Sus scrofa: one gene and its partner. The protein of the gene in region 2 binds, or shares a complex with, the protein of the main gene of each other region. Links are inferred from orthologs where the notes say so. Each region holds a gene or a part of one and is shown on either strand. Other genes may lie near its edges.

Evidence for each region. The genes of interacting proteins can lie anywhere in the genome.
Region 1: the proteins of PTH1R (region 2) and PTH are in contact, whole or in part, in a cryo-EM structure (PDB 9JR3), measured with the Homo sapiens proteins. The link is inferred for Sus scrofa from reciprocal best matches to the Homo sapiens genes PTH1R and PTH. Residues at the interface, in NP_000307.1 of Homo sapiens: Val31, Met32, Thr33, Lys34, Glu35, Gln37, Ile38, Leu41, Glu111, Trp112, Asp113, His114, Ile115, Ile135, Tyr136, Asp137, Phe138, Arg146, Arg162, Thr163, Ala165, Tyr167, Val171, Leu174, Thr175, Glu177, Glu180, Arg181, Phe184, Leu187; in NP_000306.1 of Homo sapiens: Ser32, Val33, Ser34, Glu35, Ile36, Gln37, Leu38, Met39, His40, Asn41, Leu42, Gly43, Lys44, His45, Leu46, Asn47, Glu50, Arg51, Val52, Glu53, Trp54, Leu55, Arg56, Lys58, Leu59, Asp61, Val62, His63, Asn64, Phe65.

What each region holds. Positions count from the first base shown.
Region 1 is NC_010444.4:45,754,054-45,764,222, forward strand, and holds PTH (parathyroid hormone precursor), read left to right. Parts: upstream 1-3,344; 5' UTR 3,345-3,435; intron 3,436-4,987; exon of another isoform or gene 4,988-5,378; 5' UTR 5,379-5,383; coding exon 5,384-5,469; intron 5,470-5,846; coding exon 5,847-6,108; 3' UTR 6,109-6,362; downstream 6,363-10,169. UniProt on the Homo sapiens protein: Parathyroid hormone elevates calcium level by dissolving the salts in bone and preventing their renal excretion. Acts by binding to its receptor, PTH1R, activating G protein-coupled receptor signaling.
Region 2 is NC_010455.5:29,746,760-29,756,837, forward strand, and holds the start of PTH1R (parathyroid hormone/parathyroid hormone-related peptide receptor precursor), read left to right. Parts: upstream 1-3,180; 5' UTR 3,181-3,269; intron 3,270-7,827; 5' UTR 7,828-7,875; coding exon 7,876-7,950; intron 7,951-10,078.

The DNA.
Region 1 (10,169 bases), on a different chromosome or scaffold from region 2:
TACCTAGTGATTAACACAGCCTCTGGCAATTCAGTGCATTTTTTGAAAGAATAAACTTTGTTTTCTTTATTTTTCTGTAAAGCTAGTTTAATAATATGGTTATCTTCAATATGACAATTTATTATTAAATAATGGTAATAGGAGGAAAACAGTGAAAGCACAAATTGCATCACTCCTGGAAGTCTGTCAATTATGTCAAACTTATCTGAAGAAGTGGGGAAAATCTCCAAATTAAATGTTAAATATGGCTTTATAGTAACAATGAAAAATGTGTTTATAAAACCATTTGTGTTTCTGACTCTTCTCAATAGAGTATAAACACACACACACACATCAAGTTTAGACTTTGCATCAGAAGAGGTCTTTTAAAGGATCAAAAAAAATAGATTTTTTAGTCAAAAGGGATCTCTTGGTTATTTAGTTTAAGCCTCTTATATATGAATCTCTATGTATGTGTCATGTATGAATCTCTATAACATCCTCGATAAATGCTGACCTAGCTTCTACGTGAACACTTCCAATAATGGGGATCTTACTACTTAGAAAGGTAGTTGAGTCCTTATTTTAACAATTATAATATCCAAGTGAGCCCAAATCTGCCTTCCTATAATCTTTAGCCATTGGACTCAGTCCTTTCTTCTTTTTTTTTTTTTTTTTTTTTTTTTTTTGTCTTTTTTGCTATTTCTTGGGCCGCTCCCGTGGCCTATGGAGGTTCCCAGGCTAGGGGTCAAATCGGAGTTGTAGCCACCGGCCTATGCCAGAGCCACAGCAGCGCGGGATCCGAGCCGCGTCTACAACCTATACCACAGCTCATGGCAACGCCGGATCGTTAACCCACTGAGCAAGGGCAGGGACCGAACCCGCAACCTCATGATTCCTAGTCAGATTCGTTAACCACTGCGCCACGACGGGAACTCCTCAGTCCTTTCTTCTTAAACCATAGAAAATAGTCCTTTTCCTTAAGGTAGCCCCATAAAAAACTAAAAACAGCTACATCATCATCACAAGTCTTTTCCAGTTCATTCAGCTCCTGTGTGTGTGTGTGTGTGTGTGTGTGTGTTGTGGTGTGTGTGTGTGTGTGTGTGTCTTTTTAGGGTGACACCCACGGCATATGGAAGTTCCCAGGCTAGGGGTCCAATCGGAGCTACAGCTACCAACCTACACCACAGCCACAGCAATGCACAATCCCAGCTGCATCTGCAACCTACACCACAGCTCACGGCAACGCCAGATCCTTAACCCACTGAGCAGTGCCAGGGATCGAAGCCACATCCTCATGGATACTAGTCAGGTTCGTTAACCACTGAGCCACGACAGGAATCCCTCATTCAACTCCATTTGATATGCTATTGTCATGTTTATCAACATTTTTCACCAGCCTGGTTCATATCCTCTAGATGTGTTGCAGTTTGTCTCTAATGCTTCTGAAATGGAGCCTAGAACAATACTCCAAATGAGATTTGCCCTATGTAGAGGATTTCCCAAAGCAGCACTAATACATATATTTCATTCTGACCTTCGTACAGGTGTTTTATTTTATTTTATTTTATTTTATTTTTTTGGCCACACCTGTGGCATGCAGAAGTTCCTGGGCCAGGGGTCAAACCTGCACCACAGCTGTAACCAGAGCCACAGCATGACAATGCCAGATCCTTAACCCACTGAGCCATGAGGGAATTCCTGCACAAGTATTTTAAATTTAGACTGGCTCTCACTTAATGTAGAGTCAAACCTAGGCAAGAGCTAGCAGAAAAGAGAATAACATGAAGCTGGGGTAGGAGAAGAGCTGAGAGAACTGATCTAGTTCTGGGACTTTAGTTGGGAGGCAAGCTGCCTAAACAAACTCTAGATTTACCGAGGAGAATCAAGGGGTTTTTGATAGATGGGGACCAGGCTGTAGAATATTTGAAATTAGACAAGTGACAGCATCTTGCCTCCACTCCTAAACTCCATAAGGTTTTGGAGTAGGCCCTCCATCACTAGGTAGGGAACATGAGAAACAAAACCCAATTGCTGGGCAAAGAACCTGCAAAAGGTTAGGAAAATTAGGGTTCAAAGAAGGGCTACAGGGAGTTCCTGTTGTGGGTCAGTGGTAACAAACCTAATATCCGTGAGGATGCAGGTTCAGTCCCTGGCCTTGCTCAGTGGGTTAAAGATCTGGTGTTACCATGAGCTGTGCTGTAGGTCGAAGACATGGCTCGGATCCAGCATTGCTGTGGTTGTGGTGTAGGCCAGCAACTGCAGCTCTGATTCGACCCCTAGCCTGGGAACTTCCATATGCCACACATATGCCACCCACCTCCCCGCCAAAAAAAGAAGGGCGACATTTCTACGAGAAAACTGAGGTAGTAAGAGTCAAAATAGTTCTGGAGTCACTGTTAACTCCATCTTTTCCACTTTCTAAACCTCAGTTTCCTCATTTGAAAATGGGGATCACGATAGTATTTACTTTAAAGGATTACTGTGAAAGCTTAGTGGGATAATATATGTAAAGATTGGCATATAGTTACTGCTTTTCAAATGTTTTCACTGCAAATTAAAATGCATAAATAAAATGTAGGTTAAATGAATTTTAAAATAATTTCACTTTTGGAGCTTTTATAATTAATTATGTACTAAGCGCATATTCTCAAAACATTTTTAACACTTCCTTTAAGAAAAACGCTATACTGGAATTCTCTCGTGGCTCAATGGATTAAGGATCCGGCATCACTATAGTGGCATGTGTTCAATCCCTGGCCCAGGAACTTTTGCATGCCATGATTGTGGCTGAAAAAGAAAGAAGGAAAGAAGGGAGGAAGGAAAGGAAGGAAGGAAGGAAGGAAGGAAGGAAGGAAGAGAAAGAAAGGAAGGAAAACACTAAACACTATACCTTTTTTTTTGAAAGATGATCAGGAATGATATGGATTGGTTGAAAATGACTTGTAAAGTAAGTGCAATATATTATGATTCATTATAATCCTCATAATAATTGTGACAATATTATGTATATAACAAATATACTAAATTTTAGATTTTACTTTGAAATAACGACTTTACCATGAATTTTTGAAATTGGTCTTTTTTTGTAGCAAAAATTTAGTAATCCAGTCAGAATTACAATTCACTATTTGTTAGAAATTTTTGCATAAACCCTTTTCCCAGCCCTGCACTGTTTTCCTTTTATATCCAATTATATAACATCTAAGAGGAATAAGCACCGCCCAGTGGGTGTGTGTATGCTACTCTGATCCTATAGTTAAAATTCAGAGAATTGGAAGTGACGTCATCTGTAATAAGAAAAAAGCTTCTCTTGGTGTGTGGAAGACATATATATAAAAGTCACGTTTAAGGGTCTGCAGATCAATTCATCAGCCTTCTCGGGTTTACTCAACTTTGAGAAAGCATCAGCTGCTAACACACCTGAAAGAAGATCGTGTCCTAAGACGTTGTGTGGTGAGTAATCTTTATTTTCTCTTTTAAATTTCATATGAGTTCTTTTTATGACCAAGCAACACATTTAAAAATGTGTATCATTTTCTATTAATGTCATGCTGTTCATTAGAATTAAATATTAAGGGAGGGATTGACTTATGTTTAATATAAAAATGACACAATGCAAAATAAATGTATGCTACTGAAATAGTGTTAAAGCACTTATTTTTTTGTGATTAAAATCTTTTGAGATGTCTTGCTTTTTAAAACTCATCTGAAATTACATGAAAAACAATTAAAATTTGGCATGATGTACTTTAATGGTATCTTATTAAAATTTTGAAGTAAAACAGCCTAAAGAGAAATGAATAATTCTGATTTAAATAAGTAGAGTTTTATTTCTATGAGTTAAATTCTATTTTTCTGCAGAATATCCTCATAGGAGCTCAATCTGTGTACTATGCTTAAAGAAACTCAGTTTTATGGCTGAATATTTATTCCCTTTACATAAAGACTTTTCTAATGTTCTATTCTGAAAACTGAATTTAAGAATGTTTTACAACTGTTTTTCAGCTTTTTAATGACATTCTTTAAGAGCTCATCTCTCTACTAAGAACAAGAAAGCAAGACAGAAGCAGTAGGTGAATGTGCCAAAGCTAGGGTTAGGTACCAAGCTCCTGTCCTGTAGCTACAATGATTATTTGTAACATAAACCAAAAATGAAGACCATTCATTTGTTACTCTTTCAGTAGCTTTATACTGCACAGTGAAAATACAGTAGATTATAATGTTCCTTATGCTACTTCTAAATGATGCAGGTTCCCTTTAAAATATGAGTACATAACCACCCTATATGTACATTAAAGTGAAGAACATTAAGTATTAAGAAAAGGCACTTCAATGGTAAAAGGCTTTGCAATTCTTGAATTGCAGACTAAGGTAAGACTGTACTATTTTGAGATGAAAAGCTTTATAAGCAAAAGAGGAAAGTATTAAAAATTATACTCAAATGAAATTGTTAATAAGCTGAAAAGATAAGATACAGACAAGGATTTCATATGGAGTCAAAGCTCTAGATTCATATAACAAGTAATTAATTAGATGACATTAAATGATTTGACACATTCTTTTTAATGGTAGAAAAAGTGTTTGTTCTGAATAACAACAATCTCTAAATCAGAGCCTATTAATTTGGTATTTATGGTTATTACTGCAGTGCCTGAAAGGAAATTTACTTATTAAAAAGAGATTTGCTAAGTAAATAAACAGTGTTGACAATTAATTAAGAGAAGTAGTCATTTTCAAGAAAATTATAAGCATTTAGTCATAATTAACACAAAATGTGGGAGGAAATTCTAAAAAGTAAGCTTTTTGATTTTTTTTTTTTTTTTTTTTTTTTTTTTTTTGCTATTTCTTGGCCTGCTCCTGCGGCATATGGAGGTTCCCAGGCTAGGGGTCCAATCGGAGCTGTGGCCACCTGGCCTACACCAGAGCCACAGCAACGCGGGATCTGAGCCGCGTCTGCAACCTACACCACAGCTCACGGCAATGCTGGATCCCCAACCCACTGAGCAAGGGCAGGGACCGAACCCGCAACCTCATGGTTCCTAGTCGGATTCGTTAACCACTGCGCCACGATGGGAACTCCAGCTTTTTGATTGTTAATGTGGCTTTAATGTAATATTCATACATTAAAATTTGCACAGGAACTCTAAAAAAGATACCTTAGAAAGTATAACTAATTTAATTTCTTGGCCAAATTATGTGTATATATAATATATATTAATGTATCTGTAAAATCAAGAGGTTGATTCCCAAAGTTTCTCTGGAAAATCAATCCAATTAGTTACTGTCACATTCTGGGCAAAATTGTATGGTTATAAATATAAACTACTATAAATTTAATTGTATATTTTGGAATATTTAAAATCTTTTTAACTATTATATTTTGCTTTTTCTTTTAGTGAAGATGATGTCTGCAAAAGACACAGTTAAAGTAATGGTTGTCATGCTTGCAATTTGTTTTCTTGCAAGATCAGATGGGAAGCCTATTAAGTAAGTACTGTAGTCTGTTCTGCACAGTGAGGGCATGGGAATTGGATTTTTTATTTTATTTTTTTTAGGGCCACACCCGAGGCATAAGGAGGTTCCCAGGCTAGGGGTCGAATGTGAGATGTAGCCGGTGGCCTACACCATAGCCATAGCAATGCTAGATCCAAGCCAAGTCTGCGACCTACACCACAGCTCATGGTAATGCCAGATCCTTAACCCACTGAGTGAGGCCAGGGATCAAACCTGTGTCCTCATGGATGCTAGTCAGATTCGTTTCCGCTGAGCCAAGATGGAAACTCAGGGAATTGGACTTTTAAGGTTGGCTTTATAATTTGGAAGAGGAAGGCTACTGGAGTGATCTCTGATTCTGTTCCCTCCAGGAAGAGATCTGTGAGTGAAATACAGCTTATGCATAACCTGGGCAAACACCTGAGCTCTCTGGAGAGAGTGGAATGGCTGCGAAAGAAGCTGCAGGATGTGCACAACTTTGTTGCCCTCGGAGCTTCTATAGTTCACAGAGATGGTGGTTCCCAGAGACCCCGAAAAAAGGAAGACAATGTCCTGGTTGAGAGCCATCAAAAAAGTCTCGGAGAAGCAGATAAAGCTGCTGTGGATGTATTAATTAAAGCTAAACCCCAGTGAAAACACATATGATCAGAGAGCACTGCTCTAGACAGCATAAGGCAAACAATATTTCATGCTGCTAATGTTTTCAATCTCTATTAAGATTAAGTGCCAATATTTCTAATATTACTAAACTTGATGGGTAATCATTGCTAGCCATGATTGCTGAAATTTTAATTGATCATTTTGATTCTACTTTTACTCATTTAAGAGCTTCTTTTAACAATTCTATTTCTATTGATTCTAAATAAATGAAGTATTTCTTCCTTGTTATAAAAATGTCTTTCAGTTATGAGTAACACCACTATGTTTAAATTGATCATGACTAAGAAGAACAACACAAAATGTTTTTTAACCATGTGTTTCACATTCTGATATTTTGAAATTACCCTTTATATATTATCAAAGTACCAGGTCACAGAATCATCACTAGTTAGATACTATTATTCTCTTCATTTCTGGAAAGGAAGTGAAATGCTCGGCAAGGAAAGTCAGAAAGTGGTCTGAAACTTGAATGTAAAAGCATTTGCCTATACACATAGCCGCTGGTCATAGTCCTAGTCTGGACCCCAAATTGCAGGAATAGAACTTTTGTATTCAATAGAACATAACTTCATCAATTGTCCTCCCTCATGAGCATTTCTAACAAAATAGATTGACTTAAAGACAATTTAGAATATCAGTGGCCATTATGGGGAACTTTTGAAATCCCCAAACTCAATTTTCTTAAAACCAGAACAGACTACCATAGCTCTAAGATTTCCAAAACTGAGTGAAATTCCTAAAATGCCTATTTTGGAGATATTTTAGGCCTCCAATTATCACCAGACTCTAAAATTGCCTCTCTACAAAGTAGTATTTTTTTTTTTCTTTTTAGGGCCACACTCGAGGCCTAGGGGTCGAATCGGAGCTACAGCTGCCAGCCACTTACAATCTGAGCCATGTCTGTGACCTACACCATAGCTCACGGCAATGCCGGATCCTCAACCCACTGAGCGAGGCCAGGGATTGAACCTGCAACCTCATGGTTCCAGTCGGATTCATTTCCGCTATGCCACAATAGGAACTCCCAAAGTAGGATTTTAAGATTAACTAAGGCAAACAAGCAATTGAAGAAAGATAAAATGGCCTCATAAGCCTCATGCTCCTGGGTCTTGGCTCCTTATACTCAGGCTTCACCTCCAGCACCATCTTCTTCCTTTTTACACTGCCCACACCTCTTGTACACCCTCAGCTCCCCCTTACTAATTTCTCACTGAACTTCCCCATTCCCTTTTCCTCTAAACGTATCCTCTTAAAATCAGGCCTTCTGAGGATCCAGAGGCTAAACCTTGAATTTCTTATATTCCATGGACTATAGCTGAACTGTGGGTTATAATCAAAAATTTTCCCAAAGTAACCAAACATTCTCACAGATTTGCTGAGGAGTTGAATATAGTCATTCACACTTGTCACCCTTGTTTCTCTGACTTACATCTGTTAGTTAATGTGCTTATTGGTAAAGGCCAGGCCCAGCATTGCATGAAAACTGCTAGTTAGGAAAATCCTGAAATGTCTCTAGAATTAGAACCAGGAGATGTTTTGCTTTTTTTTTTTTTTTTTTTTTTTTTTTGATTCGTTTGTTTTTGTTTTGTTGTTGTTCTTGTTGTTTGTTGTTTTTTAGGGCCACACCCATAGCATATGGAGGGTCCCAGGCTAAGGTCAAATCGGAGCTATAGCTGCCGGCCTGCACCACAGCCACAGCAACACAGGATCTGAGCTGTGTCTGTGACCTACACCATAGCTCATGGCAACACTGGATCCTCAACCCACTGAGCAAGGCCTGGGATTGAACCCACAACCTCATGGTTCCTAGTTGGATTCGTTTCCGCTGAACCACAATGGGAACTCCAGGAGATGTTTTTATAACATATGATCAGACTTCGACAATCAATAAGCAATTTCATGGAGCAATTCCAAAGACTTTTCCAAAGCCTGCTGATTGTAGCAAAGTTTAGGTTTGCACAAAATAATCTGATGACTCTGTTCATGACTATTACAGTAACTTTAGATTACTTTTATTTTTATCCTTTTTTGCTCTGCCTGTGGCAGGACTAGTTCCTAGACCAGGGACTGAACCCAAGCCACAGCAGTGACAATGTTGGAGCCTTAATCCACTGAGCCACTAGAGAACGACCAGATTACTTTGATTCCACTTGGGTAGCTTTTAACTCTGTGTTTATTAATGGACTGAACCAGGACCTTTCCCTTCTAATAAAAAGGACCAGGATGGCATGGAAGACCATGTCCATACATCTGACAAGCTTGCTTTCTTGCACTCTAGATGAGTCATCTAAAATTCTCAATCTTCAACTCCAGCAAATGAAGGCCCCTAACCAAAAACAAAACCCTCCTAGTTTCTCCTTTTATGGCAGAGTGTTGGAAAAGAGATTGCTATAAATTTAAATGCTTTATGCACCTCCAGCCCTCTAACCAGCATCCTCCCAATTCTCAATGATGGGACTTTGAGAAATTAGAGGGGCTCTTCCAAATCCTCCCTTTTAATTAGCTGGGGGAAACATTTCTCCAGATCAGGGATGCTCTCTTCTAGTCTTAATTGATACTAGAGCCACAGTCTCAGTGCTCAACCCCACTGCTATAAAATAGCCCCCACCTCAGAGTACTAAAACATTCAGAGTGGGGATCTCTAATCAACCTTGAGATGCCCGTCTCTGAACCTATTTCCTTTTACTTAAGTCCTTTGAGATACACACCTTTTTCTCATCAATCCCATCCAACAGATTGAGAATTTTTTTTTTTTTTTTTTAGGCTAGGGGTCTAATGGGGGCTACAGCTGCTTGCCTACACTAGAGCCACAGCAACTCGGGATCCCGAGCCGAGTCTGCAATCTACACCACAGCTCATGGCAATGCCAGATCCTTAACCCACTGAGCGAGGCCAGGGATCAAACCCACAACCTCATGGTTTCTAGTCGGATTCATTTCTGCTGTGCCCTAACGGGAACTCCAGGTTGAGACTTTTTAGAGAAGTATCATGCTGGGGAGGAATAATTCTGGAACTTTACAGTAGTCATCAAAGTAAACAGTCAGGTGAATTAAATGACTCCTTGACATCTTGTATTTACTCCATCTCTGATGGTTCTAGAGCTGATTCTGGAAACACTGCTCATTTGTCCCTATTGATTCAGCTACCATCCTCCTTATGGGCAAAATCTCCAACAGATACTGGCAAAATTCACAGTGCGCCTCCCATCAAAATTCAAATAGATCCCTCAAAACCTCTGCTCAGGGAGTTCCCATTGTGGCTCAGTACATTAAGAATCTGAAACTGTCTCTCTGAGGATGCAGGTTTAATGCCTGACCTTGCTCAGTGGTTTAAGGATCTGGTGATGCTGAAAGCTGTCGCATAGGTCACAGATGCAACTTGGATCCAGCACTGCCATAGCTCTCGCATAGGCCTGCAGCTGCAGCTCCTATTCAGCCCCTAGCCTGGGAACTTCTATATGCTGCAGATGAGGCCATAAATAGAAAAGAAAAAAAAAAAAAGCCCTCTGCTCATAATCAATATTCTGTAAGTAAAGAATCTCTGCAAAGCATAAAGTCCATAATAGAAGATTGCAAGGCTCAAGACCTCATTATCCCTCACACTAGTCTTTGTAATTATTCCCATTTTACTAGTGAGAAAATCTAAGGGCCGAGGATGGATGCTTGTCCATGACCTTTGAGCAATAAACAACATTGTTATCTTTCAACACCCTGTCGTTCTTAACCCTCATATACTTCTTTTTTTTTTTTTTTTTTTTGGTCTTTTTGCCTTTTCTAGGGCCGCTCCCATGGCATACGGAAGTTCCCAGGCTATGGGTTGAATAGGAGTTGTAGCAGCTGGTCTACACCAGAGCCACAGCAACTCGGGATCCGAGCTGCATCTGCAACCTACACCACAGCTCACAGCAATGCCGGATCCTCAACCCACTGAGCGAGGCCAGGGATCAAACCCACAACCTCATGGTTCCTAGTTGGATTCCTTAACCACTGTGCCACGACGGGAACTCCAACCCTCATATACTTCTAATATCCATG
Region 2 (10,078 bases):
CCAGCCTCTGGAACGCGTGCCCAGGACCTCGGTGATATTTTGAGTTTAAGAAAACTTTGCAGTCGGCAGGAGCTCTTAAAGGTTATAAATAGCAGCAGCAGGAGCCCACGCCGGGAGAGGCGGAAACACGTGTCAAACACGCCTGGGAGGGGGGTATTCCGAGGCACACACGACCCCCCACTAGGGACCCACCAGGCTTCAGGGGATTTTACAACCACTGGAGCGGGAAGTCACACCCCACCCGGAAGGTGTCTGGGAAAGGAGACTCCGCTCTTGCCCCCAACCAGGGTCCCTGAGCAGTTTTCCAGATGGTCTGGGGCACGCAGGGGCGCTGCTGAAAGGGGTCTTGGGTGGGAGGTCTTGCTTCTATCCTCTCACTCCCTGCCCTGCATGAGAACCCCAGGGGTGAGAGGAGTTTTGGATGGAGTCCCCTCTAACCCCTGTCAGCAGTCGGGGCACAAGACCAGGGGGAAGAAGGGATTATTCCAAGGCACACAGGAGCTATGTAGCATTCAGACCCCTGGCCCACAGTTCTTTTCACCAAATGTTGCTGCTGCATCCCCTTCATTTTGAGGGACCACAGGATGATAGCTTACGCCACCCAATTAAGCCGAGTCAGGGGACTGCAGACAGCGTAGAGGGTACCCTGATATAAGTCAGCCCTCCTCAGTTGACGGTGAGCAGACACTAGGCCCTCATCTCTCAACAACCCATCCAGTCCCCAAGTTTCTACTTCTGATGAAGATGTGCCTTTGAAGAGATGAGAAGAGAGCACTAGAGAGGACAAGGGACTCCCTCCACTCTAAAGGGCTGCACACTCATGCACATCTTGCCAAGGTGTGGCTTGTGGACAACCCAAGGCCAGGTGTGGGGTCTTCACAAGGAGGTCAGCTCTGATTCCAGGGTTGCCTTGAAGGCCATTATGCTTTGAGGATATGCTCTCAGGAGCCTTCTCTGAGGGAACACAGCCAGGAAGACCCCTTTGATTTTCCCAACTGCACGTGCAGGAATTGTTGTTCCAATGCAAAGATCGGGAAGCTGAGGCATGTCTGAGGCTCCCACAGCCATCCCTAGTTCTGCCTCACTCATGCCCTACCTGCTGCCCATGGCCCCCAGAAGGTCTGGGGGTGGCAGCCAGGCCTGGCGTCCAGGCACTCTGAACCTCAGGGAGCCCCAAAGGGTTTATGGGGCTCCCAATGAATGGGTCTGTTGAGCTCAGAGGGGGCTGGGCCCAGGTAAACATGACTGGGTCTGAGCTGCCATTCTCCCCCTGCCTCCTTCCTCAGGACCCAGGACCAAAATACGACTTCCTGTCCCCGGAGCTGAGGGCAAGACTCACCCCTCAGAGCCCTAAGCTGGGGCCCACTGGAGGAACACAGCCTGGCCGGCACAGGCAGCCCCCAAGGCTCTAGGGGAGAGAGGACCTCAGGTTTTCAGATTCACAGGTATGCCCAGGACCCAAGCACTCGGTCATTTTATGGAGCCCCTTCAAGTCTTGAATTGCCCGTGTTAATAACATATCAGGAAACCGAGGCCACAAACAGGAAAGAGATGCACAGGGCAGGGCAGAACAGGCACTAAGCCCCAGCCTTTGACTTCCGTGGCAGTGAGGATGGGAGTCAGGGGTGTAAGTGGGCTCAGAGGAGGGAGAGGCTCCATGGGTGGAGGCTCAGGGCAGTGGGAAGCTTGACAGAGGGCAAAGGAGGTCTACCCTCTTGGACACAGCTGCCCAGTGACCTGTAAAGCTGAAATCTGCCCCGACCCCCTCCACACACACTGGCCCTGGTCACAGAACGGCCTACGTGCCCTGAGATACCCCACTGGAGCCAGACACTTGGAAACAGCTCAGGCCAGGGGCAGGAGCCCTGCAAGTACTGTTTGTCATAATCTCATTATGAGCCCCTGGGCAGCCCAGTCTACCCTCTAAGCCTCATTTTCCCTACCTGGAGGCCAGGTATTGACAAGTTCCCTGCCTCTCTTTCCAGCTTCTGAACTAGAAAGTACTTTGGAAACTATAAAGTGTTCTCCCCAGGATCCTGGAAGACCTGAGGAGAGGTCGCCCCTAGGGATGGGGGCCCTAAGAACGTGACCCAGTGGCTGGGGGTGGTTCCGGGCCAGCCGCCTCACATGCCAAGCACTGGGGGCTGTGGCTGGAATGCGTGGAGCAGCAGCTGCCACGTGAATCATTACACCTCGTCAGGCTGAGCCTGGGACTTCCAGACTCAAACCAGCTCAGACTGGGCTCAGGCAGAAGGGCAGTCTTCAATCAGGCTCTCTGGGCCCTGAGGTGAGGGTCCAGAATCTTGCATAGTCTCTTCCATCCTGTCTGCGCATGTCCTCACCCTCAGTGTCCAAGTCCAGCACTGATTCTGCTATAGCTCATTCCACAGAGCCACAGAGGGAGGTCATCCTGTCCACAACCCCCTGCCTCTGTGACCTATAACTACCTAAGCAGGCCCTGAGCCTACCTAGTACTTGGTGGGGTATATGTGGTAGGGGGGCAGCCCATGAAGCTTGCTGGCTGGTTTCAGACCTGAAGTCCATTTTCAGTGGGGAAGGAGTCAGATATAGGGTGGGCTGTGGGTCTGCAGGGATCAGGACAAGGGCTGGGTAGAGCAAGGGTCCCCACGTCTCTCTTAGCTGGGGGACACTGGGTAGCCAGTGCTTAGAGGGCAGACCTTCTCAGCCTCAGTCCTCTGCTTGTGACCTGGGTATGAACTACCCTCAGCCTCCACCCGATTTTTACAAAGGCCCAAAATCTGAATGAAGTCACTCATAGGGGCTGTGCTTATAACTCATGGTGGCCTGAAATTTCTGGGCTATGGAAAAGGCTAGAAGGGGCAGGCAGAGACACAGAAACAGACAGTAAGCTAGTTGGAGAAAGGGTTGGCAGAGCAGGGAGAGGACTACTGAGGCACACAAACACCTGAGGGGCTGAGCTGGCCTGGATGCCTGGCAGGCAAACCCATGGACAGTGGCAGGGAGGGCCTAACCCAGAGCACCTGAACACTGGTATGTTTGGACCTGCCTCTGCTCCCTGACCAGGGGTCTAGGACAAAGTCCTGGGCTGGTACATGGCTTGGTAAAAAATAATTAATTTTTCTTTTCAAGTGAAACTTTGACTCAGGCCTTTTCCTGTCCCAAACAGCAATATCCTGGCTTAGGCCTGAACCACAGAAGCCTCTCAGGGCTATCCATGGCCTCCCCATGGCCAATTTGAGTCTCCTCTGTGACTCCAAACCCTACTTGGAAGGTCTTGTGGGCTCCAGGTGAGTGGGTCTAGCCCTGGGAACCGGATGCAGTGAGGGACAAGGTTGGGGCACCATGCTGGGTTAGTGTGTGTATCTGTGCCTGTGGGGCAACCAAAGTATGCCTGCCAGGAGATAACTATGGAGCTGGTGTTACCGCAGCAGGGAGGCTGTGACTATGTGATGAGAAGGGATAGGGATCCTGTACCCCCAGTCACCTGCCCCACGAGTGCTTCCTGCTTGGGACAGGGCAACCCAGCCCCTTCCTGAGAAGTGAGAAAGCCAGGCTTCCTGCTGTAAGGGGAGGGGGCTGCTTGACAGGCTGCCTGGGAGCCTCCAATGACTCATCCGGGTGGGGGGTGTTTATGAGCAGCCGAAATGGCTGTAAAAGTGGCACCTCGGTTCACTTATGGCCTGGCCATCCCCTCCCCACCAGCCCCTTGCCTTGAAAAGCTTCCAGAAGGGCCTACAAACCTGGAAAGAGGTCTGGGGCTGAGGCTTGGTGGAGGCTCAGCCTGGGGTCAGGGTTCAGCCAGAGGTTAGAGGTCAGACCGGGATAAGGACTCAGCCTGGGGGTAAAGCTCAGTCTGGGATCAGGGCTGAGATTAGGATTCAAGCTGACTTCGGGGTTATGGGTGAGGGGATGAAGTGTGGGAGTAATCAGGCCAGTATTCCCAGAGAGCCTCCAGGTTAGGGAAAGGGGTTTTCTGAGGGAGTGGGGCCACGCTGCTGGGCTCAGAAAGCCTGTCTTTCCTGTTAGAATCTGGTCCCCACCCAGGCATCAGGGTCTGTGTACCTTGGCCAGAGCTCTACCGGTGATGGCAGTGCCAGCAGCAGAGGTCTGTCAGCTTAGGACTGCTGCAACAGAGTTAAGTCCCCCACCCTACCCCACCCCCACCCTGCTCTGGTTCTGAGCTCCAATGACAGCCTTGGTTCCTCCCTCTAGGCCCCAGCTTGGGGATCAAAGAGGGGAGTCCCCACAGGGACTCCCATTCCCTACCCCCAACCATGACTTTCCAAATGCCATTGAAACTGACCTGAAACTGACCAGAAACAGACCCTGGGGCTCTGGGGCCTGCCTGTCAAAAAGGGTGGGCTGTGCTCTGCCAGGCACTGGGGTGCTACCAGTTAATGTGTGACACACACCCCCACCACCACCATGGTAGCACTTTAACCAGAGGCCTGGGGGTGAGTTAGGGGGTCAACGGCCCCACCCACAGTGGTGGAGGAGTGAGGCATGTGAGCTATGGTTAGGGGAACAGCCCATTAGATCCCTCTCTGCAGCCCAATCTACAGCCCACCCTGATCTTCCTAAACACAAATATTGTTTGTTTCTCAATCTCAAGTTTTCTGGGTGTCAGATCTGAGAAGGACCCCCCCCATCAGCCCCTAGTTTTACCTCTCAGTTCCTCCAATCTGTCCATGAATGTTCTTTTCCTATTATCAAGGGGTGTAGGGTTGTTAGTGGTTGTCAAATTATAAAAATTAGAATCAAATTGCTTAGAGACAGATACAAAAGCTGAAGAAACACGTCTGTTCTTTACTTGCCTGTTCTGAGCACCTGAGCTCTGTCCCTGTTCCCTAAGAGCCCACACACCATGGGAAGCAGCCCCCAAACCACAGCTGCCCCCCAGTAATGGATGAAACGGAGACACAAGACGGGAGGGACATCCTCTACACCAGGCAGAGGAGTATGATCCTAGCTGAGGAAACTACAAAGGCAAAGGCAGAAAAGTGAATATGGAGAGAAGGACAGGAATCTAGTGAACGGTACTCATTGGAGAGAGTCACTTTGGGAAGAAACTTCCTCAAACAGCACAATCCTTAAATACCAGGACCATAAACTTGAAGAGAGTATGGCCATAGAAATATAGGGAGAAGACAGATGGGTACAGTCTGGGAGACAGGTAGGTTTGAGCAGAGGGAGGGAGGGTTCCCCAGAGAGCCGGATGCAGCTGGATTCCAGTGGCCTTAGGGCTTGGATTTGGGCACTCATTGACACTGAAGAGAGGGGCCATCCCAGAGATGGAGGACTGGTCTGGGGCTCTAAGGAGCTCAATTTCCACAGGCTGAGCTTGAAGGGCCCTCAGAGCACAGGGGTCTCTGGGGAACCCAGAGGGATAACCACCCTTGAAGGCACTAAAATGGTAAGGTTAAAAGTGCCCTTTGAAAGAGCTGGTCAGCTCCCCATTTTACAGATGAGGAAACTGAAGCTCAGACAGCAGGGAGTCTTGTGTCCAGGATACACAATTGGTAAGTGGATGAGCTGGGGTTGCCACTTAACCTGGATATTTCCCAGTCACATTAGCTTTCACCTGACCCTCCTTAAAGCCCTCTGCTCCGTGCACCTACAGGCCCTCTCTGCACCTCAGCTTCCGGCTTGATACTGCTTGGTGTCCGTCCAAGGCCCCCTCCTCTGAGCGTCCCCTTCCAGGCGGGAGAACATAAGCTCCACCTCCGTCTGGCCCCTGCCCCAAAGTCTCCTTTCGCCCTTCCCCCAAGTTGAGAGTCCCCAGTGGACCAGAACCAGCCAAGAGCTTTGGCGGGTGTGAAGGGGTGGGAGAGGGAGGCAGAACCCCAGGGTGGGGTCCGGGCTTAGTAAGGGGTCTTGCGGCCTCAAGCAGCCAGGGGTGGAGTCAAGAGGAGGAGCTAGAGAGGCAGGGCCCCAAGTCTGGATGGGTCCAGACTCCGAGAGACCCAGACCCAGAGACTGGGGAGGGAGGGAGCGGGGCGTGAGGCCAGAGACGCAGGCAGGGACAGGGGCGGGTCTAGGGCACTGCACACCGACCCACTCGGGAGGTTCCTGAGAGTGGGGGTCCAGGCGAAGGCGGGGCGGCCGGGAGAGCCGCGGCGGAGTCAGGCTCAGGGCCGGCGGCAGAGCAGGCTCCCCAGGGATCTTGGTCCAGGCTGAGCGGGAGTCCCACGGGCCGACGGATCCCGCGGGCGGGCGGGGTACCTCCCGTGAAGAGGGCCTGCTTTGAGGCTAAAGGCCGCTATTCACCGGCCGTGGCCGGACGATCAGAAAAAAATAACGTCTGTGCCTTCCCGGAGAGGAGAACGAAGCGGCAGCAGCGGCCCGGGCTATGTTCCCGGACCCCGATGTCAGAGCTCCCCGGCCCCGTCCCCTCCACACTCACATCCCGCCGCTGTGCAACCTCCGGCCGCGGCCTCTAGAGAAATGTCCCGGGGCAGGGGGCAGCGAGCTCCGCTCTGCGGCTCCACACACCCGTGTCGGAGGCGACCGGGTGGGGGGGCGGGGGCGGGAGAGGCCCAGGGAGGGCGCGGGGGAGGGAAGAGGCGCCCGAGCCGAGGGGGGAGGGGGAGCGGCAGACGCCGAGGCGAGGGACGCGCGCGGCGGGCGGCGGCTCTGAGAGCGGGCCGGGCGGGGGGCGCTGGAGACCAGGCCGGCCAGGGGGGATCCCGAGAGCTCCATGAAGTTCCCCTGGGGCCGCGGACGGGGCGCTGTCCTGGGGAGGCTGTCGGGGGGTCCCCGACATCCATGGCTAGGCGGGGGCCGCGGCGGCGCGCTCGGAGTAAGTCGGGGTTGGGGGCTGGCACCGAGGGGAGGGGGGCCGGAGTTGAGTAGGGTGACTCCGGGCCTGATCCGGGCGGAGGGACTGGTCTGTCTCGGTGTCACTCGGCGGCGCCTCCTCGGACCCGGTGGAGCCGCCAGCCCCGCGCCGCTCGGCTCAGTGGCTTTTTTGGAAACTTGCAAATGTTTTCGTAGAGAGAAAAGGGGGAGGGGAGGGAGGGAGCGAGGGAGTGACCGAAACGGAGCTCGGGGCTGCTGGAAGAACGGAGGCCAAGGCCGGGGGAGCCAGAGACGGACTGACAGACAGGCAGACTGACCGAGCGTCCCGGCCGCAGGCGCGCTCTAGCGGCACGGGCGCAGGCGGGGCTCCGGCGGAGGATGGGGCTGGAGTGTTGTAGGCGGCCGCGGACGGGATGGGGATCAGAGGGACCAGAGGGGCACGGAGCTGGCGGCCGGATCACCAAAGGGCTCAGTGTCGTTGCAAAGTTGGGATCGCGTACCCAAGCTGCACGCCCCAAGAGGCGCAAAACGTGCCCCCCGCCCCGCTCGGTCCCCCTACTTGTGCTAGCCGCGGAGCTAAAAATAACAGCCCCGTGAGCCCCCAGCAGACCGCGACCCCAACCCCTCCCCCGACCCCACCCCCACTGGGCGTGGGGCAAAGCCACAGCTCCTAGTTCCCCAAAAGAAAAAGAGAGAGAGAAAGAAAAGGCGGCGCGGAAGGGGGGGCGCGGGAGGGGGGGCGGGGGGCGGGCCGGGGGCGGGGGGCCCGGCCATATGGATGTGATTTCTCCGCTCCGAGGCAGACGGGCAGCTCCGCAGCTCTCGGCGCCCGCCCGCCGCCCGCCTGGCCCCGGGCTGCCTCCCTTCCTCCCTCCCTCCCTCTCCCTTGCGCTCTCTCGTTCGCTAGCCCTCGGCGCATGGGCCCCGCGCCGGGCCCCGGGGCCTCGGGCCGCCGGGCCTCCGGGGTCCCCTAGGCCCTAACGTGGGCGGGGCAGCCCTGCCTGAGGCAGCTCTGTACCCCACCACCACCACCACCACCACCACCAGGGCCGGCGGCGGCTGCAACCCCGAGGGACGGGGCCCTAGGCGGTGGCAATGGGGGCCGCCCGGATCGCGCCCGGCCTGGCGCTCCTGCTCTGCTGTCCGGTGCTCAGCTCGGCATACGCGCTGGTAAGTCCCCAGCTCGCACTCCTGAACAGGCTTCTGGCTTGCTCTGGGGTCCCGGGGGATGGGGGCCCCGGGGGAGGGGGGGTGCGGTCCCCAGGGTCAGAGGCTTGAGTTCCCCCAGTAATCTGAATTTTGGGTAGGGGTCCCCTCTGGCCCGTGATTCTCGGTGCCTGCTGTTTCTGAGGTGTCTACAGTCTGGGTTCCAGATGCCTAAGGTCTCCCTATTTCTGCAAGTTAGGTTTGGGGTCCCAGTTTTGGAAATCTGTGGTTAGGGTTCTCCTATCTTCTGCTTCTGTGAGCATCACTGCTCTGTGTCTCCCTTGAAAATGACAGTGTGATATAGCAGAACACTGGACTTTGGCTCTGATGTATGATCCCACAGACTTTGCTCTGGGGGCCTCTGTTTTCCGCAAGTTTCGACTGCAATGTGGGACACAGGGCTGTGGGTCTGAGGTCAGGGGGTAGGATTTAAGGACCCCTCCAGGTCTCACCGTCGCATGCTTGCACACATGCCCAGCTTCATCCACACTGAAAGATGTCTGCCCTGGGAGTCGGGTGTGGTGTGGCATGGAGGAGAGATGGAGGTCCCATGAAGGAGACTGACCTCATAGAACACTCCTACAGGAGAAACATGCTAGAAGGGCACTCCACTGAGTGAGGGGACCCCCATTTGTACTCTCCTGAGAGCAGAGGCTAAGAGGGAGAAGAGACAGAATGGGAGATAAGGCTAGAGAAAGAAGAGAGAGACAAAGGGGGTGGGGATGGAAGCTCCCCAGGAGTAGACAGACCAAGAACAGCAAAGAAAAATAGGGGAGACTGGCAGAGTCCAAGAGCTGGAGGCTCTAAGGGGCCGCACCCTCCTCATCCTGGGCCAGGGTCTGGAGGCCATCTCCTGAAGAGTCAGTCAGAACCCACAGCATGCCTGTCCCAGGGGACAAGCCATTGCTGAGGAGGCTGTCTGCCTGTGTGTCTGACTTCAAGGCCCCTGCTGCCTCCCCCTCATCTCCCAGGTGGGGGTTATTTGCCTTCTAGAAAGACAGGCAGGCAGCCTTCTCCTGACCAGCACCCTATCCAGGCAGAGCCCCGGGCTGGCAGGCAGGGAACTCTTAGATTCCTCCAGCTCTGCCTAATGCCTGTGTAACCTTGGGCTATGCTTCTCTACTCCTCAGTTTCCCTATCTGTAAAAAGACACCAAGAAAGAAACATTTGCCTAAGAATCTCCTGGTCCAAGATTCTCTCCTCTGTTGGCCTCAGCACATCCCATTCCCTGGTGTCCGTGCCCACACGGCATGGCTTTCTAAAGCCAAAGACATCGCCCCACACATAGATTCGTTGATGGGGAAACCAGGGTTCAGAGGATCACCACCCTGTGCAGGGGTACTCCAAACATGGGTGAAGATCAAGGCCCAGAGCCACTTCCCCAGCTTCCCCTCAACTTTCCCAGGGCTCCCCCCAGTTCGTGTGAGCGGAGTCACTGTGCAGAGCCAGCCACTGTGATCTGTGTATCCACACATGTGCAGGTCAAGGAATAGACAGGATGATGAGCATGAGTGACCTATGAGTCTATCTGTGTGTCGGAGCAGGGCTCTTGGGACTCTGAGCGTGGCATTCTCTGGGTCTGTGTGAGTGTGAGTGTCTGAATCCTCGTGTGCGCTCACATGTGTCTGAAACTGTGGGTCTCTACATGACTTTTAGAATCATAGTTGTCCGTGTGTGTGTGTATATTTGTGAGTACATGTGTACCCAAGTCTGTGTTCTTATTTTTACTTAATGAACGTTTCTGTAGTGCTATCTACTCACTAGATACTGTTCTGAGCACTTTACAATATTAACTAGTTTAATCCCTCCAACAACCCTCTGAGAAAGGATCTGTTATTGTTGTCTCTTTTTTTTTTTTTTTTTTTTGTCTTTTGTCTTTTTAGGGCTGAACTCACAGCATATGGAAGTTCCCAGGCTAGAGGTCGAATTGGAACTACAGCTGCCGCCCTAAGCCACAGCCACAGCAAAACGGGATCCAAGCCATGTCTGCATCCTACACCACGGCTCATGGTAATGCCGGATCCTTAACCCACTGAATGAGGCCAGGGATCAAACCTGAGTCCTAATGGATGCTAGTTGGGTTTGTTAATCA